2 linked regions of the Oreochromis niloticus genome follow. The main gene of each other region encodes a partner of the protein of the gene in region 2 in a complex. Links are inferred from orthologs where the notes say so. Each region holds a gene or a part of one and is shown on either strand. Other genes may lie near its edges. The genes, in order: polr1f and polr1e.

Region 1 (15,901 bases), on a different chromosome or scaffold from region 2:
ATAAACCGCAGCAGGGAGACGCTTCTCCGGTCTGGAGTGGACTCTGTGTACGTCTTTGGAACAAGTCTTGTCGCGACTTTTTGTCTTTGTCTCACATCCCCAGAGGATAAGTATCTCCAGGGATCGTGCTGAAAGATGAGACCGTTAAAACTCAAGGGAATTGCCTTCCTCTTTATAGAGCCTGCTAGAGACAGCATGTGCTGCATGTCTGTAAGCATTAGAATATCAAATAAGGGAAACATATTCTGGTCATATAAGGGCTAAAGTACTAGACTAGACCTTTAATATATTCATACACCATAAACTACAGCACCAAGGTAACACAGATATTTAAAATGTGCAGAAAAACAAAGAAAACTCTTAAAGATTTTTGTATTTTTCCCTCTAAAACTTCTCAAAAAACTAATTGACTCCAAATATTTTTGTCTTATTTAAGTTCCTATCAAATAAATCCATTCTGCTTACAGAAATTCTTTGTTTGAAAAAGTTGAGGCGTGGAATTTCTGTTCATATTTGTGGTTGTTTACTTTTCAAACTCTATACCCGGCGTGGTTTTGCTGACACAGCTTCATATGGTATTTGCCTATAAAAGCCTGGCAGACACACAGCCATTTGGCCTGGCACTAAAGATTGGCCTTATTAATTCCTGCTTGATTTACTGCTCATTGCTTGGAAGGGTCGGGGCTTTTAGACCCATCTACGTCCTTTCAGTCTATTGAATGTGTCTGCTCCTGTTTCTGCGCCGCTCTGAGCCTCACTGTCTCGATTTTGCCACAGAACAGTTAAAAAGTTTTGTTTCTGGCATCTTAAGCAGCCACATACCTTGAATCATCTACTTTACTGTGACAGTCGCTCCAGCGGGGGATATATAGTCTATCTGTCAGCAGTTATAGCTGAGAATTACTATAAATGCCAGGAGCTGAAGCACTATGAGTCATAAAGAGTCATATATAACATTATCATCGGTGTGAGACGGCTGCTTTGAAAGACTGCTTAAGTGTAAATATGTGGGTGTGCATCAGACGGAAAGGAGAAAAAAAGCATTTACTGATATATCACAGTATATAGGTTCCATATCTGGGCGTGAGTGCACTTAAAGTGCGCATGATTCCAGCAGTGTAGATGAAGTTCCTGCAAAGATGTTATGCAATGGGTCGTCTGCGAGTTCAACCACACAGCTGTTGAGCTCTGTCTGCTGAGTCAGCCACCCAGCTGTCCAAGAGTTTCAGTCTTCTTTCGGGACCTGGGAATTATGGTAACCCACTGACCGGTGACTTTAGAGGACACTGACTCTCCAACCTTTAGTGTCTTATTGTGTTGAAACAGTGTGCATTAATAATTTATCATTTCTGCAACTTTGGATTAAGTTTCAGAACAGTGGAGCAGTTTGGGGTTGTTGTTTTTTTGCAATGAACAGCAAACCTGAATCGTGAGACTTTTTGTAAAACAGAAGAATTGTCTGTTTAAAAGATTTCCAGTTTTGAAAGCAGGCAGAGCCCTAAAATGATCAAATCTAATCTAAAATGATATATTCTAATCTATCTACTGTCTAATTACCTGATTAGGAGAATAGGGCAGTATAGTTATAAGATTGTAAGAATGTTTTTACAGTGAAACAAGAAACTAAACCAGAATTTTAAACTGGCAAATATTATCCTAGAAAGTACATATTAGGCAGCTTAATGACCTAAATTTCACATGAAGATTTGTGTGTATGTGTGTGTGTGCGTCAGCTCAACAACTTGATCCATAGGTAGGAGACTTTATAAAGAGCTGAAAGCTCTTGAGGGACTCTAATAAGTGCACCTGGCTCTTAGAAATATTTATCCATCCATTTTCTTCTCCTTATCCAATTATCTAAGGTTAGGGTGGGGCTGGAGTTTATCCCAGCTGCCATAGGGCGAGAGGCGAGGTAAACCCTGGACGCGAGGCTAACACGGAGAGGCTGTCTAGAAACATTTATATATTAAATAATAATAAGCAGACAGTGTAAATTATCCTGAAATAAAAAATAAGAGGGCATATCTCCTTTTTCCACCAACATCCTTCTGGAAATGTTATTTTTAGAGGGAGAATCTCAATGACTGTTATTTTCAGCATTTCCCATTGTTGCATCAGGGACGGGTGCCATAAAAAAGAAACATCTAAAAATTTCTCATGACAAACTAACTTGAACTCACAGAGGTGTTAATTTACTAACTTGTTGACTTTCTTTGTTTCCAGTTTCTGGTCTGCGGGATGTGCGGAGTGCTGTGTGCTCGAAAGAGGACTGGCCTTATTGTAAGTACATACATACTGAATGAGCTCGGTTTATTTCTCCAAGTAATTTCCTTTTTTTAATGCCTGTTAGTCTGTAGTGTACAAACAACAGGAGCCCTATGTGAATGCAGTGAAATGATATGATGCATGGGTGGGGTACCAAAATCCGACTTTAAACACACTCCAGGTCATTAGTTAGTGATTCACTTTTAGGCAGTTTGTACTGAGCTATTTCCAGGATGGTACCAGTTTCTAGGAATTAGGCAGAGACACCAGGAAATAGTTCGAGAAGGCCTGCAGCCTTTGCTAGAGGTAGAAGGTGGATTTTGGTTTTTTTAGCTTTGAACCGAGCCAGGTTGTTTTCTTGTTTCTACCTTTTATGCTGAGCTCAGTCCAGCTAACTGTCATGTGCCTGGGAGCCTTTTTCATTACGTATTTGCTGGAATTATGATGCAGATGTCTTCTGTTGTGGATATCAGATGCAAAGTCAACTGTATCAGGAATACTGAACGCAAAGCATACACAAGGTCTGCATATTCGACAATGAAAGAACTCCCAAAGGTGTGTGTGTGTGTGTTGCAGCAGGTGCAGTCAGTGTGCTCTGAGAGAGACATCTGAGGAAATAAGAGGAGACAAGCAGTCACCTCTCTTCTCTTTCTGTCGCTCTTTCTGTCTTTTTTACAGTCTCTCAGTGTCTCCCAGTCCTGGTGTTTCTCTCTGACTCCCTGTCTCCTGCAGGGAGGAGACTAATGATGGATCAATGTCAGCACAATCTGCTGTAACAGAGACATCACTCAACCTTTCTTTCCCTCCATCTCACCCTGTCCAACTTTTGTCTCCCTGTCTATCTCCTCCTACTCATGCTTTCCCTTTTTTTCATCACTATATCTATCCATCTGCCTCTTCCATTCACTCTGTCCCCGCCGTCATCTTCCTCCAGCGCCCTCCCCATGTCTGCCTGTGGGGTGATGATTACATTAGGTTGGTTTGGCTCCGGACCCCTGCCAGCCACTTTCCACACTTCCCTGGGTAACGACTGAAATAGGAGATGCCCTTTTCCATGTGGTTAAAGGCACTACCGGCATCTGCACAGGGGGCGGTGAACGAGGGCTTGCACTCCAGATGGAATACAAACACATTCACAATTAGTGGGAAGTATATGAATCATCTGGATTTTATTATCTTGATAAGAAGATGATGGAAGTCTAACCATTTTCTCATCAGATTTTACCCCGAAACAAATAAATAAAAAGATGAAAAAATCAGATTCTGAAACTGGGATTTAGTTTTCCCGGTTCTGATCACAATTTCCGGAGAAGTAATCCGTAAAATGCGATTCATTAAACACACAAATCAGACACAAACACACAAATACAGCAAGTGAGTGATGCAAGCATATTTACAAGCCGCACATCGCTCCTGGAACAGACAGTCGGCTTTGAGAGTGATCCAATTTTCTAATGGCGAATGAGATTTATTTTGACTGATAGGCATTACTCATCGCCGCAGCCTCGTTCCAAAACAGCAGAATGATGGAGATGGAAGCTCAGTAGTAATTTGTATATCTCCGGTCTCATTGCATTTTGTCACTTGGTTTACAGATTTGTTGATAAGGTCTCAATTTTGCAGCTTACCCCCCTTGTCTTTCAGATGATCCTCTTTTCAGCGTGCTGCATCTGTGGGCTCATTGCCGGGATCTTAAACGTCCAGTTTGTTCGGGCACTGAACAAACGGCCGGACAAGATGCAAACAATCCACCTGGCTGCAATGACTCTGGCTTGTCTAGGTAAAAATAATAACAAGGATGCAAGACGTAACACAATCTGATGTGACACAATTGAAAACAATTCATGTCTTTGTCTATTTTTCATTGTAAGACCAGAATGTTATTAGTCTCTGTTCAAGTATTTGAAAGGGACTAAATGTGGGGGTAAAGATAAAGCATCTCTTTATTAGTCACCTGTCAATACTAACAGTATACCAAGCATTTCTTATTACTGCTAATCACATTTATCTCAGCTCTATCTCAACAACTCTCCAGTGCTCCAACACCCTACCCAAACAAGCTTTGTCAGTTTTATTCAGATAAGAAGTGCCTCTCTATTTCTTTTCTGAAGGTCTGCCGGTATACTAGTCGCTCCATGAGGTTGTGCTTGGAGCTAAATGTTGATACCAATGTTAATATGGATATTTAGTAGGTACGTAACAGTTTTAGCATGCAAACCACATTAGGGACATAATATTTGCTAGTTAGCGATACATCAAAGTCATTTTAGCTTAGAGAAAATGTCAGGGATTAAATGCCCTAAAAGTCTCTGAATGGGGCCATAATTTCAAAAGTAATCAACCAGCAATTGAGTCCATAAGCCCATTAGGAGAGAATTTACCGAGGACATAAATCAAGAGTGAGGTAGTTTAATTTTCTCATAGATATTATTATAATGTAGGGACCAGACCCCCCACACACACACACTCACAATTCGAATTGGACAAGTGGAAGAAAATGGATGGCTTGATAACTAAATAACTGAAATCAAACGAGGCATTGCAACGTTGGCTTCACTTGTACCCGAAGGCTACATCCATCTTTTATGCAGTCCATATACAGACTTTGGCTGAGACATAGAACTTCATAAGTGAAACTCTTTCCATACTAGCACTAAAAAATAGAAATCAGACGATCATCCAGCACAGTATGTTTTATCCTCTGGGGACTGAGTCTTTTTCTGTGCACTTCTGTGTAAAATTTCCTTTTCCTGTCTTATCCAGGGATCTCGACCTGTACCTTATCCACGTGGCTGACTTGTCGCCTGGCAAGCTCGGAGCAGCAAAGGATGTTCTTGGAGAGGGAACACTCGCTACATCATTCCCATGAGATGACAGAGAAGGTAGTAAACTGCATGATTCATCTTCAGCCGCTGTTGGAAGTGTTTGTTAAGCAGGTTTGTGTTTGTGTGTCTCTAACAGGAGGTCCTGGACAACTCCAGTAATGGTATTCCTCAGATCTCCTATAATGGACACACCGCGGCGTCTCCTTGAGGAAGTTTCAGCAGGAGATGATTTGCAGTCTTAAACAGGAGCAGTTACTAAAACTCATGCTGTCACGCAGCTAATGCAGCTTGTAGTAGACTGCGTTTAACTGTATCCTGACTGCAGGGACTGAACCAAATTTGTCGCCTTGGAACCCGTTTACCTGCTGACTGAGTGAAGCGGACGGCATGAAGGAGCCGTTTGTGCTTCTGAATATTATGCAAACATGGGTTCAAATACCTTCGGTTTAACTCACACCAAAGCCGGGATGGTGAGCTGCCGTTTGGATGACAAATGAGGTGACAGACATCTGCGTGAAATCCTCCAATTTGTGAGCGGGAAGGATACATTTCATCCAGTCAGATCAAAGTGATGAGCACAAACCAAGCATGCAGCTGATTCACTTGTTTAGAAGAGCTATTTCAGTCTCATCGTCCTTATTCTCTCCCTCTCTGTCATGTTATTGGTTTATGGAATCCAGATCTTGAGATAGCCTTTGGTAAACTGTATGTATCATCTGATAATGGAATGCTTTGAGAGAAAAAAATTACAGTAATGCACAATGTACTGTATGTATCCATGCTTGTAAATCAAACATATTTTTATAATGCTTCTTATAAAGTTCATTCAATTAAAGTACGACTAATAAAAGAATTGCACAGTCTTGCATTTTGTTTTACTGTTGCTCTGTTAAATACATGTTGAGATGAATCTGGTTTTATGATCGCTGTTTATGCAGACTAGCCTTTTTTTTACTTACATAGTTGCCAGTTTGTGTGTTTATAGTACATGAACATGCATGTTTGTGGAAGTGTGTTTGTGTTTGTGAAGTATGTGAGGTTTAAGTAAAATTGTGATGGGAATTACTTTTCAGTTCGTAAGCCAGATTTCAGCATTTTAATCAATACACTACATCATTGTAGGTGATAGTAACACCCAAAGGTTAAAATAACACACTGAAAAATCGCACTACGAAGAACCGTATTTAAATGACTCAGTCATATTAACGAAATCCAGGTGGGGTTTTTTTCAAAACACACATTAGAGAGCAACCATCTCACACCTTGTGGGCGGTCTGCAAGCTCGGGTCCTCTACCAGAACCTGGGAGCTTGAGGGTCCTGCGCAGTATCTTTGCTGTTTCTAGGACTGTGCTCTTCTGTACACAGATCTTGGGTGTTGTTCCTGGGATCTGCTGGAGCTACTCGCCCTGTTCAGGGAGTCACTGCACCGAGTAATCCGATTACCACTGGGATCACTGTTACTTTCACCCTCCACATCTTCTCGAGTTCCTCTCTCAGCCATTGGTACTTCTCGAGCTTCTCGTGATCCTTCTTCCTAATTCCTATCACTCGGTATACAGCCGTCTTGCTCTGCTTGTCCACCACTACTATGTCCGGTTGGTTAGCCATCACCAGTTTGTCTGTCTGTATCTGGAAGTCCCACAGGATCTTAGCTTGGTCATTCTCGACAACCCAGGGGGTGTGTCCCATTTTGATCTTGGGACTTCAAGGTGATACTCAGCACGGATGTTTCTGTATACTATGTTGGCCACTTGGTTATGGCGTTCCACGTATGCCATGCCTGTTAGCATCTTGCATCCTGCTGTTATGTGTTGGACTGTCTCAGGGGCATCTTTACACAGCCTACACCTGTGGTCTTGCCTGGTGTGGTAGACCCCAGCCTCTATCAATCCTGTGCTTAGAATTTCTCTATAACTGACAATGGCACATGCCGTGCAGGGGCCTGTCCTTCCATGATGGTTCCTCTTCTTGCTCCTCTTCTTTCTGGGAATACTGCTGCCTGAATGCCTGGATATTTATTTACTATCCTGGATAGTGTTTCTGAAACTCTGTGCTCTTCTGCCTCCTTCCTTCTGCTTAGAGTAAAGTCTCAGGGAGCTGGACTTGGGGTGAAACCAAAGCCATGATATTCTCTTCCAGGTCAGCTGTTCTTGCATTCAAAGTACCAGTTGTTTTGGGGGGCTTGATACCCAGAAAGTGTGGAGATGATGACATTCCTCTGACATAATGTCCCCTTATTTTTTGTGTTGTACCTAATCAGTCACTCATTGCAATAGCAGTTGCATCTTGTGGATGTTGGAGCACTGAAGTTCAAGTTTGATGTTTGTCTAGATGCTGGTTGTCAAAGAACCCATAGATCCCACATCCTCATGTAATCCCTGTGTAATACCATCCAGCAGTTATCTATTTTTGCTTGTCCACTCATGCCTTATACTTCTTCTTTTATTTTATGTGCCATTTTATTCACTGAGTCATTTACAAACTATGTACTTATGCATTATTTCCTCTACCACATTTGTCCCCAATATATTTCCTGTCTCTATTTTTTAATTTAACATTTTTAATTTCTTTATCCAGTATGGTTCTTTTATAACTAAGCTATTAAATAATGAAAAAATCAGTAAATAACAAGGGAAGTTATATAGGAAAATGCATAGCAGGAGAATTAATAGAGACTGAATTAAATACAAAGAAAATGATCAAAATGATCAAAATCCATGTTGATGGTTATAATGACAATAATATATTTGTTGGGTTGAATTTTAGATTTTGGCAGTTCCAGTCCTTCATAGCATCATCAATTCAGAAAGCCACTGCATTCTCATGAGACCACAGTTTAAGGCAATGATGATGCTGTTCAGGGTTCCCACACTTGTCGTAAAGTTAAGTGACAAAGTAAATCAGTTTCATAGCACCCGTCAGACCTGCAAGCTTAAAATGCTTCACAAAGGAGGAAGAGCAATAAAAACCTGTTTCCTCCACACAGATGCTTGCACACAGACACAGCTGTGACCTCTTATGAAGATAAGCTCTGACAACATCATTGCTGCTCAGCACCTCATTACAGTGTTCGCCAACTCCAGAGAGAAGCTCCAAACAGAGATGTGTGTGCATCTGTGTGCATTTATGCATGTTTGTGTGCTGACTGGGGCCCACAGCAGCAGAAGCCACAGGGAGCTAAGAAACCATGCACTATTTATCACCGTGACAACAGACAGGAAAGGGCCATGGCTCCTAACAGAGCACCGGGTCTGCGATTCCTGTGAGAGTGTGTGTGATAAAGAGAGAGAAACGCTGAATCATGTGACCTCCTGCGGTGCTGCCCTGTCAGAAAACAGTAACACTAGATACATCTGTGCATGTGTCAGGATATTTTCAGTGTATGCCTGTGTGTATGGCTGGACACGCTGCACTAGTTGCACTAATTGACACCTCAGGTCACCCTAATGATCTTAATGTGGCTCTGCGGGTGAGAATGGGATACAGAATCAATGATCACCTCCTACCACACGAGCTCCCTAACAGCATCCCTGCCAGGCCTATCAGGGCCGAACTTGTAGATTACATAACAAAGGGCATCAGGTAACTTACGTAAGCATCATAACAGCTACTTACAACAGCAAAGCCACATGGTGCTCGTTTTAATTTGCTAAAATTTTGTCTAAAGCTAAAAGTGATGCTGGCGAATGCCTGAGCCTACTTCTGCAGGAGGTTTCTTCCTGTTAAAGAGGAGTTCTTCCTTCCCACTGCCGCCAGGTGCTTGCTCAGATGAAACATATTTATCTGTGGCTGCAGTTACTTTGCAGGGCTAAATTTAATTTACAAATTTAAAATGTGAAAATGAAATAGCCACTCGGAATAAGTTCACCATGTTACACAGGACATTCATTATTTAAACTAACAGACAGTTTGGCCACATGCAATATTTAAATCCATCAACATGTTATGCCAGGAAACATTAAAGCATTACTGCACACAGACTATCCATGAACAGCCATTAAGTCTGCAGTCACTCATTTATCATCGTTAAACAGTGTAAAAGTGTTTTGATGATGATTCAGTCTGTGCTCTGCAGACAAAAGGGGCAGTAAGTTATACAATTCTTCATATTTTCTAATTATTTCAAGGTTTTTAGAATATTTCTGTGTCTAAAAAACTATTAAACACAATACTTTTTGACAATCATTACGTAAAGATAGTGAATGGGATCTAAAATAAACTATGAAATAAGCTTGCAGTATGAAGTTTGTGGGGTGCGCTTCTCTTCTTCACCAGCAGGGGGCAACAATAACAAATGCAAAGCGGAAGTCACCTCTTGTTTGTCTTCCGGTCTTTCTACGCAACATGGCGAATTTGGAGCATGGTGAAGACAACCCAAAACATGTGAGAATGTCCGGTGAAACTCCCGACGCGTCCGTCCCGGACCAGGCGGCCCAAGAGACCCCAGCACCGGTAAACACTGCTGCCGCCCTCCCGTTATCGATCCCGTCGTTCGCCGCTGCCTCCGAGCTGTTGTCAGCGCCGTACTCGTGTCTGGTCATGAACACCCACCGGAGACACATCGCCCTGCCGCCCGTGTATCTGAACAAGAAGAAGACGGGGATAAAGGAGGAGCTGGAGGCCGAGCTGCTCAAGTTCTCTCAAAGGTGCTTCTTTTTTTCCCCCGCCGACGATTTTATCCAGTCAATAAAGCATTTTCAGCCGGACAGTCCACTTTCCCACGTACGCAAACACGCACACGAGCTGGGATGTCTTCTAGCCGTCTCGTGTGTTGTAAAAGTTCATGAACCTAGTAGCTACGCATGAAACGCAGACTTTCAGCTTTAATTCAGGGACTTTAACAAAATCAGTGCATTGTTTGTCCGGAAAATACAGCCATAGACACATAATCTAACTCCGTTTAAATGTGTTTTTAAATCCCTTACAGTCAATGAGTGCCTAAAGTCTAAAAGTCATGAACATCACATCACCAACTGCGGTTTCTTCCTTTGAGAAGCTCTAGCAGGTCTTTACTGCAGCCAGCAGTTGCTGCTTATTTGTGGGCAATAACTGCATTCAATTGTTAGTTCAGTAACTGAAAACCTGCTGTATTTGGTAGAGATCAGGTAACTTGGCCATTGACGATTATCTCTGCTCTTTCCCTCGGGAAACCCTTGGGGATTTGCAGTGTGCTTCGGGTCATTGTCCATTTGCACTGTAAAGCACTGGCTGATTAGTTTTGCAGCATTTGTCTGAATCTGAGCAGAGACGATCCCCAGGTCGTCCTGCTGTCACATTATCTATAAACACCAGCGATGCAGCTCCACAGGCAGCCATGCATGCTCATGCTTTAATACTTCCTCCACCGGGTTGACAGATGATTTTGCTCTCTCTTATAGCTTTACTTTGGTTTCTCAGCCTGATGAAGATCATCTTTGTGTGCACTGATATCTCTTTGGGCCACATAATGATAATTCCAGGGAACAGCTACAAAATACAAGTTTAAAATTCTTTATTCTCCAGATCCTTTATCCTTTATCTGCTTAATTTATTGTTTAACAGAGAGAGCAGGCCTCTCCTGGCTAAAAACAGACACCTGTTACTCAGTGTTACTGAACTGTCCCGTTACTTGTGAGCCTCTGAAAATTGAGGATTAAACAGTTAATGTAGTTATTTTGTTAAACCCCTCCGAGTTAAAGTTTATAATCTGAACTTGAATCACATCTTAATGGTTTGTTTTAGAATCCACTGTGGTGCTCTGCAGAGGTAAAAGTACAAACAATGTGTGATTGTCTGCAAAATGTATTTTATGCATGAATCACTGAGCGTGGCCTCGGTGAGGCATTAAAACCAGTAATGGTAACGCAAAAAGGTTTTTCAGTTTAAATAAACTGTTAATGCACAAGATGACCTCGTTACTGTTGTGTCTTTCAGTCTGAACGGAGTCCCCTTAGCCTACGACGACATCAGGATAGTGAGACACCTCGGAGACATTTACGACGACAGCGGCTACATCCACGTGGACGTGGAAGCCAGCTTTATTGTTTTTCAGCCGCAAAAAGGACAAAAACTACGGGTGAGATTTACATTTACATTATTTAGTAGAAGCGGAGAAGCTGACGGGACTTTACCTGACATATAGTGTCTGTTAAACGAGACCTGCACTTTTCAGTGTTTACTATTGTTGTAATATTCAAACAAGTGACATATTAAAACCTGCTGCTCTGAGGCGTACCTGTATTTTGTGGGAGTGATAAAGTGCCTCTGATAAAATACAATAACTAACAGCGTGTATCACGTATTTGTCTGTTTGTAGGGTAAGGTAAATAAACTGGGAATAAGCCACGTAGGCTGCTTGGTGCACGGCTGCTTCAATGCCAGCATTCCCAGACCGAATCTGGTTTCTGTGGAAACATGGAGAGACGCGGGGCCGAGGATCGGATCAGAGGTGGAGTTTGATGTGACGGCGCTCGACGCCGACACTGCTGGGGTGCTGCTGATCAGAGGACGACTGGACAAGACCAGGCAAGTGTGCAGTATCAGTGATGGTGATTTTAGTAGCTTCGGGGCAAAACTAAAGGCCCCAGTGTACTCGTCACTTTGTGCACTGCCGGTAGCATCATCACACGAGTAGCCACTGCAGTATTCTCCTGAACGATAGGCGAGCAACTCAGACCTTCACATCAGCGCTGGTATGGGAGGAGAAAAAGTCAAAGCGACGTTAAACAGCACGATTGTACACTTGTGTCTTCAGCCCGGCTGAGCAATGTATGACTACATGTACTGAACAAGGCATTTAGTCAACAAAATCCAAATGTACAACAAAATTGTCTCTGAATCACATTTCATCTGGACTGTGGAGATAAAGAGAGTAACAACAATTCAAATTCTGAATCATCTACAAGATCAAAACAAGTTTAAAACTGAATCTAACGTTATAGGAAGAGAGCGCAGGCAGGATGGAGACGAGTGTTGGGGCTGATTTATGACAGAAGGAAAGAAGCAAGAGTGAAAAGGAAGGTTTATAAGATGACCTGCTCTGATGTATGGCTCTGAGATGGTGGCGCTGACGAAAAGAGAGGAGGCTGAGTTCGAAATGTTAAGATTTTCACTGGAAGTGCCCAGAATGGACAGGATTAGAAATGAGAAAATCAGAGGGACAGCTCCGGTTGAGCGGTACATGTGCAGAGGAGGGATGCTGGATATATGGGACAAAGGATGCTGAAGATGGAGCTGCCTGAGAGGAGGAAAACAGGAAGACCTCAGAGGAGGAGGATGCTAGAGATGCTATGCTCCCTTTAGGAGTTGCTACATCACTGAAGATGAAAATGAAGAAGTCTAACTTTATAGGTGAAACAGGTTTTAGATGTTCTGTGTGCATATCCCTCCTGTATTGATTGTTTTTGTCTTTGTGTGCCTCAGGGTGCAGGAGCTGCTGGCCATGTGTGAGGGCACAGAAACCAGTGTGCCTGCAGGCGAGGAGGGCACAGAAACCAGTGTGCCTGCAGGCGAGGAGGACCCAGAACCCACCCAGGATGCTTCTGAAGAAACCCCGAAGAAGAAAAAGAAAAAAAAGAAAGTCAAAGAAGAGGAGATAGAAGAGGAGATACCAACCATATCTGCATGCCAGCTGGACAACGGTGTAACACCAGAGCCGAATGGGATAAGGGATGAGGTAAACGGCAATGAAACCGGAGAGAACAAAAAGAAGAAGAAAAAGAAGAAGGAAAAACGTATAAAAGAAGAGGAGGAGGAGATGGATGTCTCTCACGTGGCGGTCCACGGGAGCGACTCCAGCGGTTACGTAAGTGACAAGCCAAGCAAGAAAAGGAAACGTGAATCGGGACACGATGTGACATCATCGTTTAGTGAAGATCCCGACCCGGTGAAACCAAAAAAAAAGAGAAAAGTCAAAATAGAGCAGCATGCCTAAAAAATGGTATCTTTACAAATTAAGTGAAACATTTGGAATAATCAAGGACATACTGAGTGTGTTAGTGATAGCGATGGCCCTGGAGGAATATTCTGACCTGTGCCTTAACCATGAAAGAGCCTGATTGTCATCCCAACGTTGGCTCCTTCTCGCCTTCATAAACAGAATGTCGGACATGCAAGAGAACATGGAAATGAGAGATCAGGAGCCGGCTTGACAAAGATTCCTCACTGGATTGTAGTTCCAGCCTTCGCCACATGGCGGAGCCAAACTGCTGCTTACAATCAGTCTGGCTGACAAAAATCCAGAGGCGAAAACTCACCAGCAGAGACGGTTTGATCATCTTTTGCTATGCTGCTGTTTTTATGTTTTCTCATGTTCAGCATTTAAGAAACAAAAGCCAAATGACTAATGCCGCCCAGCTCAGTTCAAGACTTTGGCTCGTGCTTCCATACAGTTCTTAAACAAATTGTTCTGAGTGTGACCGCAAAGCAAGGAGAGCACGTTTTACTTAAATCCACAGTAATTAGTGAAAGGTCTGGAAATAAATCAGGCACAGTGACAGTGAAGCTATGAAATATTACTTTTGTGTCACTCACTTTTGTCTTTTCATGGATTTTTCTTTGACCGAGAGCAGAAATTAGCTGACAATAAAAATTATATATTGTTCTCACCCTTTTAAAGAGTTCTTTATTTTGATATTTTGTCATGATGTCTACTTTTCAGTGACAATTTGACACACCTGTGCTTTGCAAACACACTCATGAACAGCGCTTCGATTCAGTGAGACATAAATTCCTGTATTTTTGCAGTTTGCAGTGGAAAATTTTGCAGCTAGCTCTTTTGCTTTGACCGGTGGGAGTCGAGTGATAAAAAGCTGAGAGATAAGACTAAAGAGCTAAGTGTTTTCTTTACTCCCCCCCCACACACACACACAGAGTGAGGGAGAGAAATCCCCCTGCTTTTCAGTGGGGAGTCTAATTAGCTGTTAGGTGCTAAGAGTTGGAGAGCTTATCGGAAGCTGCCTAAGAGGAGAGATAAGGGGATGCGATTAACTTGGCTCATCTTCATCAGTCACACCTGATCTTACTTTTCTGTCATCTGCATGAGCTGCACCATCTGTGTGTGCATCTTTTTTGGGTGGACAGATAGGAGAACACTGCAGAGAGCCATTCAATGCTGTTAGTCACCACACGATGGTTAAAAGAACTAAAAAAGAAAAAAGGGCTGCTTGTATCCAAAGCATGCAGTCTGAGAAGAAACAACAGCAAAACTTCATTGTGAAATTTTTTTTTAACTGTTTATCAATCATACACTAATAGCAAAACAAGAAAAACTTGCCAAATATTTCAATTTAAAAAAAACCCAAAATAAGCTTTTAAAGGTTCAGTTGTCTGTTACCAAATAAAATCAGCTTCAAGAACTTGGTCCAGGAATCCAGTTATAAACAGCTTTTTAACGCAACCTCAGACTTACTGGAATAAAATATGAGCACGTCAGTATTTATCAAGGGCTCTGTGGGGAAAACATTTACTCACATCTATTTCTGAAGCAATGGTCATCAGCCAGTTAGCTGATAACCCAATGTTTAACTTTAAGACTGGAAACACCTGTTCTGTCCAAAGCCAGGGTTCTCAAAGTGTGGGCCGTGAGCCGGTGGTGGGTCTCTAGGTCAAAACAAAGAAAAGGGGGCACTACCTGCACTGCCAAAATAAGACGAAGGGAGCGCTGTGCCTTTATTTGTCCATAGCAAACGAAACCTTCCTAACACTGAAATAATGTAACATCTGCAGTCATCTGAAAGGAAACTTTTTGCAGGGCTGTACAGTGCTGTGAAAAACTAAGTACATCCCACGATTAAACAGCTTACAGAACCACCTTTGGCAGCAATAACTTAAACTGCTTTCTGTATGACTTTGTCAGTCTGTGATATCGTGGAGGAATACACAGTGTTGCTTAATTTTATTGAGGTTTGCAGAGATGTTTTTAAGCACAGCTCTCTTAAGGTTGGAGGAGGAGAATCAAGGTGCTGCAATGACCCGGTCCTTCTGTTGTAGATTCACTGCTGTGCTTGGGAACATTGTCCTGTTGCATGAACCAGACTGGCTCGAGCTTTAGCTGTCGGACAGATGGTCTCGCATTAGACTCTAGAATGCTTAATTTTATTAACTATTCTTGTTAATAATACTTAATAAACAGAAGAGTTTGCAATTGACTCAATAACTGTCCACGTCCTGTCACTGCAAAACAAGCCCAAATCAACACGTCTCCACCTCCGTGCCTGATAGCTGATACTGTATTCGGCGTTTGGTGTTCACCAAATGTGGCGCTGTGCATTATTGGCCAAACATCTCCAAATGGAGATCTCTCAAAATCTAAGTTTTGTTGTAGGGTCTGGACTTTTACCTTGATTCTTTTCTTTTTCAGCCATTGCTGTACTTTTAATCATCGTCCTGTTGCTTTACTAGTCAGACAGATGGTCTCAAGTTTGATTCTTGAATACTTTGGTCCACAGAGGAGTTCATGGTCGACTGAGTGACTGCCAGGTCTATTTGGTCTCGTCTGACCAAAAGGACGATGCTCCAGTAGTCCTGTAGTTTGTTCAGATCCACCTTTATAAACCCAAGCCACAATGTCATGTTCTTCTTATAGAGAAGAGGTTTCTTCTGGAAAGCCTTCCAAAGAAGGCTGTCATAAACTTTAAATTTTAACTTGCTAACTGAGATTTGTAGTCTGAGATGTAGCTCTACTTTTTTGTTTTTTTGTCATTTTTCTGAGCATTGCATGGTCTGATGTTGGGATGAATTTGCTGAGATGTCCGCTTTGGCAGATTAGCAATTGTCTTGAATGTTTTCCGCTTGCTAGTGATCAGTAAAGTGCACTTGATTAGCTGCACTC
Region 2 (15,736 bases):
AAGGCTGTGGGATCGCCGTGCTAGGGCCAGTTAAAGGTGTTGTCCATGACAACATCTTGTTCCAGGGTCACCGTGACAACAGAAAAGCGTTGCTACATATGGATCCTGGCAATGAGAGCTGTGTGCTGCGGAACAATAGCATTCTAAGGCATGATGACAGGTAATCAGTCGGCCCATTAAAAACTGGCAGACATTCAGTAGACCAGGGATCTCCAACTCCAGGCCTCGAGGGCCGGTGTCCTGCAGGTTTTAGATATGATTAGTTCATTACCAGCCTCTGGAGAACTTCAACACAAGTTGAGGAGGTAATTTAGCCATTTGAATCAGCTGTGTTGGATCAAGGACACATCTAAAACCTGCAGGACACCGGCCCTCGAGGCCTGGAGTTGGAGACCCCTGCAGTAGACCATCAGTGGAATTAGTGTTGTCACTTTCTATCGCTTCTGCTGTCTGCGCAGTGTCTGTAATAAATAGTAAGTGATCTGAGTAAAAAAATTACTCAGATCTGCAGGTTAACTTAAAGAACTTTTTGAGGTCATTGCTTTTAGTAGGAAAGCAGTGGCTCCGCTGTGTAGTGATCACATTTTCCTTACATGTGAAATGATCCCCCAGTTCAAGACCTAGGGCCCAACCTCAGAGGTTAGAAGATGGCGTACTTGGTGAAGTACTAAGGAAGGGCATCTAAATATCAGGATACCGCTTGAATCAGTTGCTGCTGCCTCATCTTATTAACTTGAGTTCTGCGTTTGGCTCCTTAGAAGTTCTTAGTCCTTGGTTCTTTACCGTGTTGGTAAACACACCACACTAGTTTTTTGTTGTTGTTTTTTTACTGGTTTTATTACCTCAGTGGAAAGCAGTGCTTGTTTTTTGTAATCACATTCCCTCTCTATTCATTTGCTTTGCTGGGCTGGACCCATACGTGTACTGCTACAGTTTACTCTAATAGCAACGTTTTTGAATGAAGCAGTTTTTATGAGAAGAAAAAGCTCTAAAAATTCACTGTGTGCCATTTGCTCAGAATTGTATAACAATCAGTCAGTGACAGCTAGCTAGTGGCATGATTTGCAGCTTAAAAGTTATTTCCCTCAGGAGCTGGTGAAGATGAAAATGGTTTAAAAAACAAATAGGGGTGGGGTGAAAAATAATCTTAAAGGGCATCTCCTAATTGTTGCTTACCCTTTTTCCTCTCTTCATTTCATAGCTGTACATCTGTTCCCCCCTGGGTTATGGAAAACCCTCCTCCTCGCCCACTGGCCAGCTCCCCTGCAGGTCTCTCTTCATCCCAGTATCCCTCTGGACTTGGAATTTCCGTGACCACCAGGATCGGCGCAACTGTGGAAAGTGGTTGCCACAGCGGCAGCATGTTTTGCAGCATTCTGTGAATACTGGCAAGAACTTACAAACCAATATGATAGCCAGGGTCAGGAGGTCAGCATCTGGTTGCTCCTTAACTGCTGTAAACCATACACGTGGGGCACTGACTGTCAAAATAAGGGTTCGGTTAATTGTCCAAGTAGCTGGAGACCGCAACTGAAACATTAAAGGAGCCATCCACCCCCATTTTTATTAAGATGGAAGAAGACTTTGAAAATCTGAAATTAGACTTTTGTACTTCTATGATTAAAATGCTACTGTGCTCATAAAACGTGGGCTATTGAAAACCGAAGCTGGAGTACAAGACATTCATACACCTTTGGAATCTGTTTGAGACTAGAGCTTTGCCTAGTTTATCATTAGCTCATTTACTGCAGACTTGTTTGGTAGTCTTATTTTTGCTTATAGGGACTCGCTGGTTAGGAAGTGCACATTTCTAAATCCTAGCAGGAGTCAAAGGCTTCAGAAATGCTGGCTTTGACAGTGGGTCAAAGTAAAGCTGTGCCTTGGTTGACTATTTAAGGGATGGCTGTAGCGAGGGAAGGTGTTTTCATAGCGTGAGGGCGTTTATGCAACTAAGCCAAAACTAAGATTCTGTCTCTGTCCTGTCTGTTGGCGGGTCTCTTCTTGCGTAATGTCCTTTGTGGTTTTTAAAACTTAATGCACTTCGCTTTTTGAGACATCTCATTATTTCAGATCCTGTCAACATGCTGCAGAGAAAACTAAACAGATATCTGCATATGATTATGCAAAAAAAAAAAAAACTGTTGGTAGTCTAAGCTTTATAGTTCCATTTGTAGTCCACCTGCACTTAAGTTCGACCAACCAATCACATTTGATGGTTTGCATTTGCCGAAATATAATCTCACAACCATCCACTATTGTCTGATGACAGTTTAGCTTTTTTAACAGCTTATTTAATTTGTCTGCATTTGTAAAAAAAAAAAAAAAAAAAAAAAAAAAGCCAAAAAAAAGAGACCAGCAGACAGAAGAGGAAGTCCGTTATCAAGATATCCTGTCCACACACTCAGAAGGGGAAGATATGTAGTGTGCAATATGTGATGTCTACAAACGTGCCTATACGTTCCTGCTAGATGTTCTGTCATCTAGAATTTGTTTACAGCTCTTTAGTCTTTTTTTTTTTATCTTTAAATGTAAGCTTGTCACGTTCGACTTGAAGTTCACTTTATTTGTCTACAAAAGCATTAATAAACAAGCCTTGTTTAATGCAGCCATTTGTTTGATATTCATTTCTTTCTGTCCAGTTCTCGGTTCTCCTTTGCGTCCTCAGTGCATCTTTTTGCGTTTCCGTCTCTCAGTGAAGTGATCGTATTTGATCAGAGGCAGAACGAGGGCGGCCAGTCTGCTGTCATCTTGTAGTTCAATGTTATCACCCTTGCCTCGGGCTGGTTTCACCAAGGTCAGTCTCATTGACTTTGCGACTTCAGTCATCCTATAGGAGAGCACAAGAATCACAATAGTTTACAGTTTAAACAAAAACTACAGAGTAAAGAAGGAGGATAGTAGTATGTGTGGTTAAGTCCACATTATTGACTTCATTAATGATTTTACTCTTTATTTAAACAATGTATGAAATGTAAGAAATAATTTTTAAAGGCTTCCTTTTTATTCCCCTGCTTACCTTGCCTCAGTGATTCCCAGGTCACGATGCAGTAATGTGAGGTCAGCTGTCATGTTACCCATATGCAGCAGCAGAGCTAAGCAGTATGCTGCTAGTTTGACCCGCATTGACGATGACACCATGTTCTGGATTCTAAACAGAAAAGTTAAAGTAAAGAAAGTGCATCTTTTGAAAAGAATCAGTGCAGCAACAAATACACTGTTGTGGTCAGATGTTTACATAAGCTCATCATGGCCATGAATGTCTGCCATAAATAATTTGGCGATTTTTTTTTTTTTTTTTTTTTTTTTTTCATTATTTATTTGAACTGTTTTCCAGAGTGAAATGATAGTAAAGCATGCACCTTTAATAACTTATAGTTAAACAAAAATTAGGTGCACAAGTTTAAATTTATTTGGGATTTTCTGAAATCCACATAGGTCAAATGTATGCATACAGATTCAAATACATACACACACACACACACATCCCCACTAATATTTGGTTAATGTCCCTTAGTAAGTTGTACTAATATGAGATTTTTTTTGGCAGCCCTCAAGAAGCTTCTGGTGTAATTCTGGCTGAATATTTGACCACTCTTTTTGGTAGAATTGGTAAAGTTCATTTAACTTTGTTAGTTGCCTGGCTTTAAAGCACACTGAACAAATTTAAACAGGGTGAGTTGGGGGTTTTTTTGTTTTTTTGAAAGGCAATTCCAGAGGCTTAATGTTAGCCTGCTTTATTCATTCTAAAACCAGTTTTAATGTGTGTTTGGGGCTTCTTTGTTGGTTGGCACCCTCTCAGTCCATGGCAATGAAAAAGGTGCTTCACTGTGGACAGTGATGCTGGTGTTCCAGCGGTTTCCAGTTCATGGCAGGCTTAAGCCATGGTGGTTTCTGGGTTGTTCCTGACTGTCCTAGCCCACCTTCTCTCCTATGAGGGTGACATTTTTGGAAAAGTGATGACATATCAGCTGTTTAAACTGATGATGTTGGAATCTGTAGTTCTTTCGAGGGTGTCCAAGAAACTACAGTTCTCTTTCTTAGATCTTCAATTAGTTTCTTGGACTTTTGTATTATTCTGAGTATTATTCAATCCAGTTGGTGCTATCAAACAAACCCTTCTTATGCTGCAAAGAGAAACTAAAAGATGTAGTCAATCATGACCACTATCGAGAAGCTAATAGGCCTTAACTTTGTTAAAATACATTGTAGAACCTTTAACAACACTTACTAAATTATTTAAGTGAGTGTATCTAGGTGTATGCTGTACAATCATTCCACGCTGAGAAAAGAACAGTTAAAAGAAGTAACTGGAAAAAGTTGCATTTCCTGGGAAAATGCAGTGTGAATGGCGTGTAGTGGAATCTGCTGAAAACAGCAGAAGAAGCAGAACTATCTGCTGAAAAGAGTTGTAGAAGCTGAAGTGCTTGCTGAATTTGAAAGGGTACAGTGAAGAGTGTCAAGAAAGCTGAGTGCATGCAAGCGGGGGAACATGTGTGGCAACCGCCACAGGTAGGATTTGAACCTTCGCCACCGGATCTCATAGCAGCTGCTCATCCCACTGAGCTAAACCAGTTCTAGTGCCAATCAGAGATATAATGAGAAAAACAATGTGCACTGTGCAGAAGAAGCTGAACTTTGTGCTGAAAAGAGGTGAAGAAACTGAAATTTGTGCTTAAAAGAGGTGAAGAAGCTGAACTTTCTGCTGAAAAGAGGCGAAGAAGCTGAATGTTCAGCAAAAAAGAGATGAAAAAAATGAAATTTGTGCTGAAGAGGTGAAGACACTGAAAACTGTTTTGAAAAGAGTTAAAACAGTTGAACTGTTTACTGAATAAAATGCTGCCATAAGCGGGATTTGACCCGGCCCTCCTGGTCTGAGAACGGCTGCTCATCTCACTGAGCCAAAACATGGCTCAGCCCGGCAAGCAAAACTGGTGATCACACTGATAATGTGGTCCCATTCAGCAAAATGGGCCAAAAAATGGCATAAAAAGCTTAATATCTCAAAAAGTATAAAAGTTATGAGCACCAAAAGATATAGCTGGCATTAGCAGAAAGAGCAGAACAGTTGGAAATTTGAATGGTGAAAATCAGATGAAAACTGAGGGAGTAATTAACCAGCAAAGGTCGGAGCAACTAGAATAAGGTAGAGGAATAAAGTTTAAAGAGAAACAGGATCTCAATAGTGTGAATGCCTCACACAATTAAAAGCCCAAAATTACCACGACATTCATGCTCATGATGAGTGTATGTAAACTTCTTAGAACTGTATATATTATTTAGCTTCCCTGTCTCGGTTTAGCATTTGGTAAATTTTTGAATTACTAATGAAATTATTAATTTAGTGAAACAAAATCAAATTCCAGAAACATTTTTCTTCATTAGCTACATGTGTTTAACCACCATACCTGCCATTGTTGAAGGTCTCCACGGTGAACGTTTTAAAGAGTTTGCCCTGGATGATGCGAGGGCAGCCTTCCTCTTGCCCAACTGTACATGCAAACATGAATTACTACAACCCTCTAATGGTGAAAGTTTGTATACCACTTTCCACATCATAATACTAACAAAATTCACTCACACTTGCGGGTGATGTTCCTCTCCCGAGCCAGTTTGAGGAGCAGAGAGAGGTAGAAAGCACAGCGTGCTGTTTTGTCTCGGCTTTCACTTTCAGTTGGCAGATTCTCTAGATGCTTCACAATACTCAGGCACCTTTAGGTTAAAGATAAAAAGCACAAGATCAACCTCAAGTGCAAGAACACATTAATAAAATGTCTCTGAAGGTTTTGTTGCCCCTACCTTCCATCATCTTTCATCTTCTTCAGCTCTTCGGGGGTGAGTGCTGCCATTTTGGCACCACCCTGCTCCAAAGCACCAAACTCCACTGGGCTCAAGACTGCAGATATTCGGTTAAGGGTCACCTGAACAAAGTCTGGTACAGCTCTAGATAAAAACCTGCAAACACATGCATACGCTAGTACCCCATCTTGTAATCTGGGATTCAAATGGATTCCTTGCCTTCCTATTTCCATAAACACATTCCTCCTCCAGCACAGGAATAAAAGATACGCTCATCAAATGGATAGACGTCCTCTCGTTTGTCTGCGTTTGCATTGCAGGGGGGAAGGTGCAGAGCCAGGTCTCCTTGCGACTCTGCGTCAGCCACTTCTTGCTGCAAAGCTGTGCAGAGAGGGAAGGTTAAGAAAAAAAAACATGGAAAGAGAAACATTCTTTCGGATTTCTCCGAAGAGAGGCATCCACTGTGCAGCTTACCTTCCAGACCCTTCTCGCCAATCACAGTGTTGGCAGCCTTTGCCACTGCTTGCTGAAGGGTTTCACTGCCCACCTGATTCAGCCTGCGAGAGCTCAGAGCTCTCTTCTGCTTGTTGGTACCAAAGGCCTCAATCAATAAGTCAACCTGAAAGGGAAACATTAAAGGTAATAACAGGATATTCACATCACATTACACATAATTAAGCACAGATGTCTTTTAATGGACAGACAGCAGCAGCAAATGCACCTTTTCTCTGTAGGTCTGAGTAGTGTCCTGGGGTTTTGCACTGTCTGTTGTCTCTCCTGGTGACAAAAGTCATAAAAAGCGACTCTCAGAAGGCACACAAAGCATTCCTTCCACAGCTTCTGGTCTTTGTGGGCAGTTAAAAATAGCAACAGATATGTTATAGCTCTCTTACCTGGTATAACTGGTTGCATGTTGAACAGCTGAGCTTCGTGCACCTCCATCGTCATGGTCTGCTTGTTCAGCACGCCCACATAATATCTAAAGAGATGCCAAACATCCTCCTTATCAATCTCCTCCTCGGTGACCATAACATGCCAAAATGTGCAGCAAAGACCTACTTGCAAAGATTATTGCACTTCATGGACCCCACTCCAAAGTTCTGCCCCACATAGGACAGTCTGTCTGACTCGGCAACCTAAATAAAATAAACCAGGAAGAACACTGAGAGTATACCAACACAGCCCGGAGAGTGCAGACACACTCCTCATCTTCCTCACCAGTATCCGCCTGGTCTTTTTCCTGGGGTTACTTTCCTCCGTGTTCTTCAACATGCTGAAATCCAGCTTGTCTGCATTTTGGACGCTGCCGTTAGAAAAGCGGACTGTGGGATTGAGACAGAAACACCGGGAATTATACGTGATCAAACCTCAATGACCGATGTGACTGTACAGTGACACACGTGAGAGCCTCGGACACAACAACACGGTATAGTGCCCACGTGTGCACCTAAATGCTTTAAAAATATAAACTCTACAAAGCCCAACCCAGAGTCATGTGTCATCATCATCATCCCCGTGAAAAATTCTACATAATAAACAAATGAGGAATACTCACCGACGACAGCTTTATCGGCTTCTCTCTCCTCTCCGCAGCACACAAACGAGCAGGAGGCGGCCATGACTGTTGTCATGATGAGTTTTCATGCAGGGCAAGAGTTTACTCCTCTGTACTTCCGTGTTCGCTTCGCCAAGCCGCTGCTCTAATTTCTCCAGTTTTGTTGTGGATACTTTACCTGGTGCATTTCTTTATTTTGCCTGTACTGTTCCTTCTGCCATGTCTTTGTTCACTGGATTATAGGATTATCCTTTATACGGGCTTTAAAAAAATAAAAATGCCAAAGCATTTACCATCTCGATGCTGTTTATAATCTTTGGCTAACTGGTTGTGTGTGGGGATGCAGCAGCGACACCTTGTGGTGAAACCGTAAAGCTGCAGCTTTTCACCTCGGGTGAGGTCATGGACGCGAAAAAGAGGTACAGCGCCGCCCCGTGAGTCTGGTTGGAAAAACCGTCTGTCGGCGGGGGGAAATATTAGAAAACACAACACAGCATGACGCTACCGCTTACCAATTGATAGAAGGCATTAATATTATTCTAACGGTTATTCTGGCGCCGTGGCTGTGTGCTCAGCCTGGCAGGCGCTGGAGATCAACGGACACCGCGGCACCGTCCATCGCGGCCAGCTTTACGTTCCCACGGCCAAAACCAAACGAGCCGCTTCGGGGTCAAACCGTCAGGAAGTCGACCGCAGGGGGACGCGAGAGGTAGCAGCGGAAATGTTAGCTATCCACAGCTCGGCTTGAGGGGACATTTTGTGGGCCAGTCTCGGTGACCGCATGCCGCTGCTTTTACTCTAGCTAACGGGCTATTTGCTGGGCTGCAGCCAGCTAACTTTAGCTAATCGGGGCCCTGTTCTCCCTCTCGATACCTGCATTTTCCGGATTTTTCAAGGTAACCTAAAGTACTGCTGGCTCTCTGCTCTGACTTACAGTACCAGCAGACTGCTTCTTTTGTGCCATTTTACCGAGTCGCATCCCATGCTATTGTGTTCCAGTGCAGTTGTGACGTTAAATGTGTGTAAAGACGATGGGGTCCAATAAAGTTAGACCTGTTCGTCAATATATGACTTTATAGCAAGAAGGCAAAGGCAGTGGAAAACGCAACATTTGGTGCACAGTAATCAGTAAGCGAAATAAAATGACAGTACCACGGCATCCTGGCTGTTAGCCAGTAAATACAAAAACTGATCCAACTTCTCCCCCATCACCATTCAGACATCGTAGACTGCATCCACAGGTACTCAGAAATGTAGAAATACACATACTTGTTTCCAAAAATAATGAAGTGCTGCATTCAGACTCCGAAATACAGTGAAAATGAGCTATTTGGAGGACATTTCTATCAGCTGTTTTGTGCAAAGCTAACTTAACTTCATTAATAATATAAGAATAAAACAATATTATGGGAGTTCAAACATTAATTCAGCCCAAATTCAGATGCAAACTGATGCAAATGAGCATAATCGTGGGTTTAAGTTTGACTCGAGTAGGTGTGAGATCTCTAGTTTTGTAGTGCAGCATCACTTGGAAGTAATTTTTATTGTAAGCACAATGAAATTTTCTTTGTTTTCGGGCTGGGATCAGCTGACCTGAGTTGCTGCTCTTGTTGGCTGTCAGGGCAGATTTCTGACACCCCTACACACTATAAAGGTGGAATTCAGTGAATTAATCTCCTTAGTATAACTTTAAATTGACATGTTTCCTTGTTACAGTGACCATAAACGCCACATCTGTAAACTTCTCCACAGTACCGCAGATTAACTGGTTTACCCTGCCATACACTGCCTTTTCATGCAACCTTGGAATAGCAAAAAGTTAGTATACACTTAACATAAGCGACACATCAGGTATAGATCTGGTATCAGTTCACAAGTGTCTAAAATGAATGAGGATGTTATGTTTCAGCTTTAACTTCCCAGTCGGTTAAATGTCACGGAGCAGTCCTTACCTTTTAAAATCTAACCTCTCTCCATCCTCTCCTGTCTTACTTCGATAAATAAACTTTTTTTTTTTAACATTTTGAAGTGTGACAAGTGTTGAAGTGACACATATTGTGATTTATCACTTTGTCCCCAATTGTTTTATCCAGTAAGATAACTTCATCTTACTTAAGTTTTTTATTCTTTTTTTAATGCATAATGGATTGTCAAGCAAGCAAGCTGCAGTCAGTGTGCTACTGAATGGGGTCAAGTTGGCAACTACATACAGTCTGTTTCTTGTAATACAGCAATTAACTTAGAACTATTGGTTTGGGCATTATGATGATAAGGGTAAGAGTACGTAGGGGCAGTAAACTGAATTTCCCAATTTGTGGAAGAACAGTGAAGTTTGAAAAGCTCCAGGTCGCTGCTGATTGGTCAGATGCAGTGACATCAGTAGATCACCTGATCTTTGCTAACTGACTGTGGTTCTGCATAACTCACCTACCCTCTGCTCCTCTGTCTGCAGGGCCATGGATTTCCCAGGCCATTTTGAGCAGATCTTCCAGCAGCTGAACTATCAGCGTGTCCATGGCCAGCTTTGCGACTGTGTCATCGTGGTAGGCAGCCGACACTTTAAAGCCCACCGCTCCGTGCTGGCGGCCTGCAGCACCCACTTCAGAGCGCTGTTCACTGTCGCAGAGGGAGATGCTAGCATGAACATGATCCAGCTGGACAGCGAGGTTAGAAAGAAAACGCTGTCAAAAAAGCGAAAAAAGTGTTTTTAGTCATTCTAATGGTGATTGAAACCACTGTGTGCGTTCTGCAGGTGGTGACGGCCGAGGCCTTTGCCGCTCTCGTGGACATGATGTACACGTCGACACTGATGCTCGGGGAGAGCAATGTCATGGATGTTCTCCTCGCAGCTTCGCATCTGCACCTCAACAATGTGGTCAAGGCTTGCAAACACTACCTGACAACACGCACGCTGCCCATGTCCCCCTCATCCGACAGAGCTGCCCATCACCACCCACAGCAGGAGCAGCAGAGGCACAGACAGCAGCAGCATCAGCAAGTAGCTGATTTAGCAGTGAACCCGACATTAGCAGCTAATGCTAACCTTGCAGCAAATGCTGCCACTTCAAAGCTGCAGCGCTCCTTCTTACTGCAGCAGCTGGGGCTCAGCTTGGTGAGCTCTGCTTTGGGTGGGATGGAAGACGACCGGGCGGGAAATGTAGTTGGCAGTAGGGTGGTTGACCAGAGGGCCTCCTTCCCAATCCGACGCTTCCACAAACGAAAGCCCTCTCTGGCGTTGGGGCTTTCAGAGGAGAGACCCAGACAGAGACAGCGTCCTTCGGCGCCTAACCTCGGGTTGTTAGGAGAAGAAGGGGTGAACGCAGAGCGGGAGGATGGAGCACTTCTCTCCCCAGATTCCCACAAGATGGGGGACGAATCTAAACTTGACCCTGCGATCACTGGGTTAGCAGCTGCTTCCCAAGATGACCCTCAGATGCCGAGTCAGTCAGATAGTGGACGCTGCGAGGAGGAGAACTTGGGGAGAATTCAAGGAGTAAACAAAGAAGAGGACATGGATGACCAGGATCAGCAGGACAGCAGAGCAGGGGTGAAAATAAAATCAGGAACAGAGGAGGAGGAGAACGAAGAAGAGGAGCAGAAGGTAAAGCTACAGATTTGTCTCTTCAGTGGGCAGGAATATTTCCATAGATAAAACTCTCCAGACCTCTCAGGCTTGTCTGTATGAAGTAAACAAACTTAACAGAAATTGTTGGTTTGAATGTCATTAATGCAACCAGGGGTTAAGGGATTGGACAGAAGAGGGAAGTCATAAGATCGGGTGTAGCAATGCAGCAGGGGAAAATGACTCACTTAGAAAAGAGTCACACATAATTTCTGTTCTGAGGATTTGATTTCCTTGCGGATGGACTGTGACAGCTGACCTGTGCTGGCTCTGAGGTTCACTGGTCTTTGTGGGTTTTGCTTGCTGCAATTTACGAGATATTAACAGATGTTACATGAGCTGTCGTGGCCACTCTCCAACCTTTGGGCGGTGTAATGTCTAAAGGTGGAGATTGGCAGGTGAAGGGTAGTAAAGAATGTCATCAACTTAAATTCAAACTAATGACTATTACCCTGAAGCCTTGATTACATTTTCCGCATCTACTTGGATCCAACAGACATAAATTTGACCAGCGTTTTTGTGGCCTCGTTAACTAATGTGCAGATAATTGACATTACAGTCCATGAACTACACACACACCCCAGGCAGAAGAGTTCAAGCAGACTTCAAAGAAGTATAAACAGGAGGGACAACTCGGCCATCGAGTTTCTAGCTGTCATAACCAGTCCTAACAGTGATCGTGAACACCCATCCTGCACTTCATTACTGTAAACTGTACCACAGCACTGCAGAGTACCTACTTTAGCCTGAAAAGACTGTCCAGTATAGATTTTAAATAACCCCAAATTGTCATTTAACAGTATGGAATGATTAAATAAGTCAAATAAGGACAGATTATAACAATAATTCCAAGTTTTGAATATCTATATCAAGTGTCAATTGTAAGGTTGTCACGGTACTAGAATTCCACACTACTGATACCAATCATCAGAACACTACTCGAAGCTCCATACTATTGTCGATACCACCCACCCACACGCACACACACACACACACACACACACACACACACACACTCTGCAGCAGTAGCAGTAATGGCGAAGAAGCCATTTCTTGCAAAAGTTAACTTGTTAATTTTCCACTAAGTATTTCCAATTATAGGTTAGAGTTAGAAAAAAGTATTTATGATTAACTTTAGAGGTTTTATTCGTTTTACAACTTATATAGAGGAATTTATCACCATGGCTTAATACGCCACCCTGGACCTGCAAATTACTGTTACAGCTGCTAAGACGACACACGTCAACAAAGTAGCATCGCACTGTGACAGAAGAATGGGGAAATGGTTGGATGTTAACTCTTTATTTCGAAATGAAATGCTAGAAAAAATACAACGTCTTGGTAAGGCAAAGCAGGCTTGTTCAAGAGATTATTTTACAGCATCTGATGTTACCCATTCGGGAGCTGGCTCTGAGGTTTCTGTGAGAAGTGTCCCCACAATAAAATTCTGTCCAACTGTGAGACCTTTAGGCAGTGTTGTGAATATTAATTCTTACATTAAAATTTGAGGTCTTATCTCCCTTGGCCTTAGATGAAACATTTCTTTCCTTTTCTTGCTTTTCTTAGGTGGTTGTTAAACGTGAGCCGCTAAGTTCTCCCGAGCCAGCTGATGAAATTAGCGACGTCACATCGCAGGCCGAAGGCAGTGATCCTCCTGAGCCTGGGTGCCAGGAGGACGAAGAGAAGGTGGAGCTGAGCCCAGAGAGCAGCGACCGCAGCTTCACTTCTGAACCCCAGCCCAGCTCCGACTCTCTTCTCCAGCCCAGCTCCCAGCTCATCCTCAAGAGCAGTATAGGAGGAGGAGGCGCGAACGGAGGTGGTTTTGGACTGAGTGGCAAACCTGGGTTCAGCATTTCCAGCTTCCTCAGCCAAAAGGATTTTGCGACTGGCAGCTCAGGGATGGTTGCCGGAGAGGACGACCTTCCGAACACAACAACTGGGGATGCAGTAGCACATCGCTTTCTGCTGAGGCAGGAAGCTGCTGGCACTTCTGGCTCTGCTTCTTCCTCTCTTTTGCAATCAGGCCCACTCAGTGGTGAGAGTAGAAGCAGTTTTGGAGATAATCTGCAAGCCGATTCTCTGTTCCTCCGCCCCCTGCATGATGGTTTAGGAAACCCCAGAGGAAATGGGGGAAATTCAAGAGGAGGACGTGGAGGAGTGGATCCTTTTGATTTGGAATTCCAGCGCTCAAGTTTGGGGCTTCATTCACTGGGACGGCCCTCAAGAGAGACAGGAGGAGTCAGCGGCACAGGTCTGAGTTATCCAGGCTACAGACGCATTGCTCCAAAAATGACCACTGGCATGGGAGGAGAAGAGGCAGTAGGGGGGATTCTTCAGGATGCTGCCTCCTCTTCATCAAGTCTACCGGGTCCCCTGCTCCTCAATGAGAACGGAGGGTATGAGATGAGTGGCAACAGGCCCACCTCCCTCCCCCCTCAGCTCACCCGGGCCTCAGCAGACGTTCTGTCCAAGTGCAAAAAGGCTCTCTCAGAGCACAATGTCCTAGTGGTTGAAGGAGCACGAAAATATGCCTGCAAAATCTGCTGCAAAACATTCCTCACCCTGACTGACTGCAAGAAACACATCCGTGTCCACACGGGAGAGAAACCCTACGCATGTCTGAAGTGTGGAAAACGCTTCAGCCAGTCTTCACACCTATACAAGCATTCCAAGACCACCTGTCTGCGCTGGCAGAACAGTAACATGTCCAATGCCCTGCTGTAGGAGCAGAGTGTGGAGATTAAAACACTAGGAATCAGTGTAGCTGCCTTTAAAGTCACAAAGCTGTTATAAAAATGTTTCTGAAGCTCTGACTGAACGGCCAGTTTTGTTATCCGCTCTGTCTAAACTAACTGATCCTGATCACAGACCAAAGATGGGGATGAAAAGGTAACTTAATATGAATATGTAACATTATCTTCTCCAAGACCAGTTGATAAAGTTTCTGTTAAAAAATTAACCCTATAGAAAGATTATAGGGATGTAGGCCGATATATCAGCCAATACTGGCTATTTACCATTTGGCATTGATAATGGCCAATAAGTGAAAAATTTAAAAGGAAAAAACACCTTTTAACAATTTTGTGAGCATAACACAGCGTAAAAGATGGACGTAGCTGCTGTGACATCACCCTTTGGTTAGTGAACTCCCATTATGAAACTTCAAGATGAGTGTCTTCACCATTTGAGGTGATCCTTTAGTGCCGATTCATTGTTAGTGGTACACTTGGAAGTAAATTCGATTCAGTCATTGCAACACTCAGAGGCAGCTGTGCAACATCAGCACTAAAGACTGACATCATGTAAAATATTGTATTTAAATTCATATTCAGTGCATAATTGTAAAAACATGTAGCAGCTGACATTATTGACTGTGCCTTGTTCTGTGCACGGCCCGTCACATCCATTCACATTCATCCACGTTGGTCGCCATTATGCGTGTAAGTGCTAAAATCTAATGGTTTATTAGATGCAAGCAAAAAAAGGCAGAGATAATCCAGTGTGTGGGAGAGACCTGGGTAATGCTGAAATCTGTAGCATTTTAACAGTTCAACCAGCAGAGAAGGCGACAGAGTATGTAGTGTTGTAACAGTGTTTGTATTCTGTCATGCGGTGAAATGTCATCAGTACTTTGTTAATTAATAGTCATCATGAGGAATCGAGCAGTGACTAATTCAAGTCAAATTAACGTGACATGATCGTCGTCTATGGTTGATTTTCAGTCTGTCACTGACGTTGTTGCTGGGCTCATTTTAATGTTGAAAATGTTTTTGGTAAAAGGCCAAATAATTCAAAATGTACTCATGGAGGCCTTCATGTGACATATGTCTGCAAGAGTAACAGCCTCACTTTAAAACATTTATACTTGTAGGGGGAAAATTCTGAATTACCCTGATTACCCTTCCACCACAACTGTTTACCGTAGAGTGAAGTTTCATTGTTTACTGACGTAAAATTATTACGGCAATCAGGAGAAAGGTTTAAAAAAAACAAACGTATTTTTCTGTCCAAATTCATAAAACAGTTTATTGTGATTGTAAAAATATGGCACTACGTGACTTTCAGCCGTAGCTTCTCGGTGTTGTGTGTTTATTGAAAGAACGGCGAAGTTTCAGTGACGAGTTCAGCATGTGTTGGGGGAAAAAAAATATTTCGACATGTAAATACTGTATTGCACATTTCTGGTAAGTCCTTTGGAGAGGAGACAAAACAACTCCTAAAGATGTAAACATTGTGTGTATGTTTGCTACTGTACTTGATATGAGTGCTTTATACGTGTCTCTTTACATATAATGTTGCGCCTGATACAAAAACACTGAGACAAATCAGTCTTTTTTTACAGCTAATAATGTTTACTGGAATGTTGAACTATGTGACGACATCTTCATTGTAATCCAACCATCCGGCTCACCCAGCTCTTATGATCTTCCTTCTTCCTTTCTTATTCTGTTGTGCTGGAAATGAAAACAAAGTTCCACTAGTCTAGAAAAATGTAACATCACTAAAGGAATATTTCACATGGAGAAAGTAATTTTTAAAAAAAAAGATTTTAATGTTTTTATTTTTTTGTTAATTACAAGAAATTTTGTGTTTTATGTAGCTGTATTTTAATGTAACTTGATAAATGTTGGGGAATGCTGTAAGTTACAAGTCAACTATGTTACAACTGAGGATTTGTGTAAGCTTAAATAAAAGTATAGACAGGATTTACAAAAATAATATCACATGAAGGTTTTCTAGCAGACATCCTGCAGGTTGAAAAA

The links.
Region 1: polr1e (region 2) and polr1f share a complex: the UniProt entries of both Homo sapiens proteins name them as parts of the RNA polymerase I (Pol I) complex. The link is inferred for Oreochromis niloticus from reciprocal best matches to the Homo sapiens genes POLR1E and POLR1F.

The regions. Positions count from the first base shown.
Region 1 is NC_031985.2:23,846,094-23,861,994, forward strand, and holds polr1f (DNA-directed RNA polymerase I subunit RPA43), read left to right. Parts: upstream 1-9,404; 5' UTR 9,405-9,435; coding exon 9,436-9,737; intron 9,738-11,004; coding exon 11,005-11,146; intron 11,147-11,386; coding exon 11,387-11,595; intron 11,596-12,492; coding exon 12,493-13,003; 3' UTR 13,004-13,676; downstream 13,677-15,901. Other genes in the region: tmem196 (transmembrane protein 196), read left to right, coding at 1-47, 2,224-2,280, 3,910-4,045, 5,029-5,147, 5,227-5,298. UniProt on the Homo sapiens protein: Component of RNA polymerase I (Pol I), a DNA-dependent RNA polymerase which synthesizes ribosomal RNA precursors using the four ribonucleoside triphosphates as substrates.
Region 2 is NC_031971.2:22,559,505-22,575,240, reverse strand, and holds polr1e (DNA-directed RNA polymerase I subunit RPA49), read right to left. Parts: upstream 7,494-15,736; 5' UTR 7,428-7,493; coding exon 7,352-7,427; intron 7,119-7,351; coding exon 7,015-7,118; intron 6,933-7,014; coding exon 6,856-6,932; intron 6,776-6,855; coding exon 6,690-6,775; intron 6,574-6,689; coding exon 6,518-6,573; intron 6,416-6,517; coding exon 6,271-6,415; intron 6,178-6,270; coding exon 6,067-6,177; intron 5,894-6,066; coding exon 5,797-5,893; intron 5,710-5,796; coding exon 5,579-5,709; intron 5,488-5,578; coding exon 5,406-5,487; intron 3,149-5,405; coding exon 3,017-3,148; intron 2,828-3,016; coding exon 2,662-2,827; 3' UTR 2,518-2,661; downstream 1-2,517. Other genes in the region: fbxo10 (F-box only protein 10), read left to right, coding at 1-160, 1,202-1,382; zbtb5 (zinc finger and BTB domain-containing protein 5), read left to right, coding at 7,754-7,785, 9,804-10,017, 10,104-10,964, 12,540-13,697. UniProt on the Homo sapiens protein: Component of RNA polymerase I (Pol I), a DNA-dependent RNA polymerase which synthesizes ribosomal RNA precursors using the four ribonucleoside triphosphates as substrates.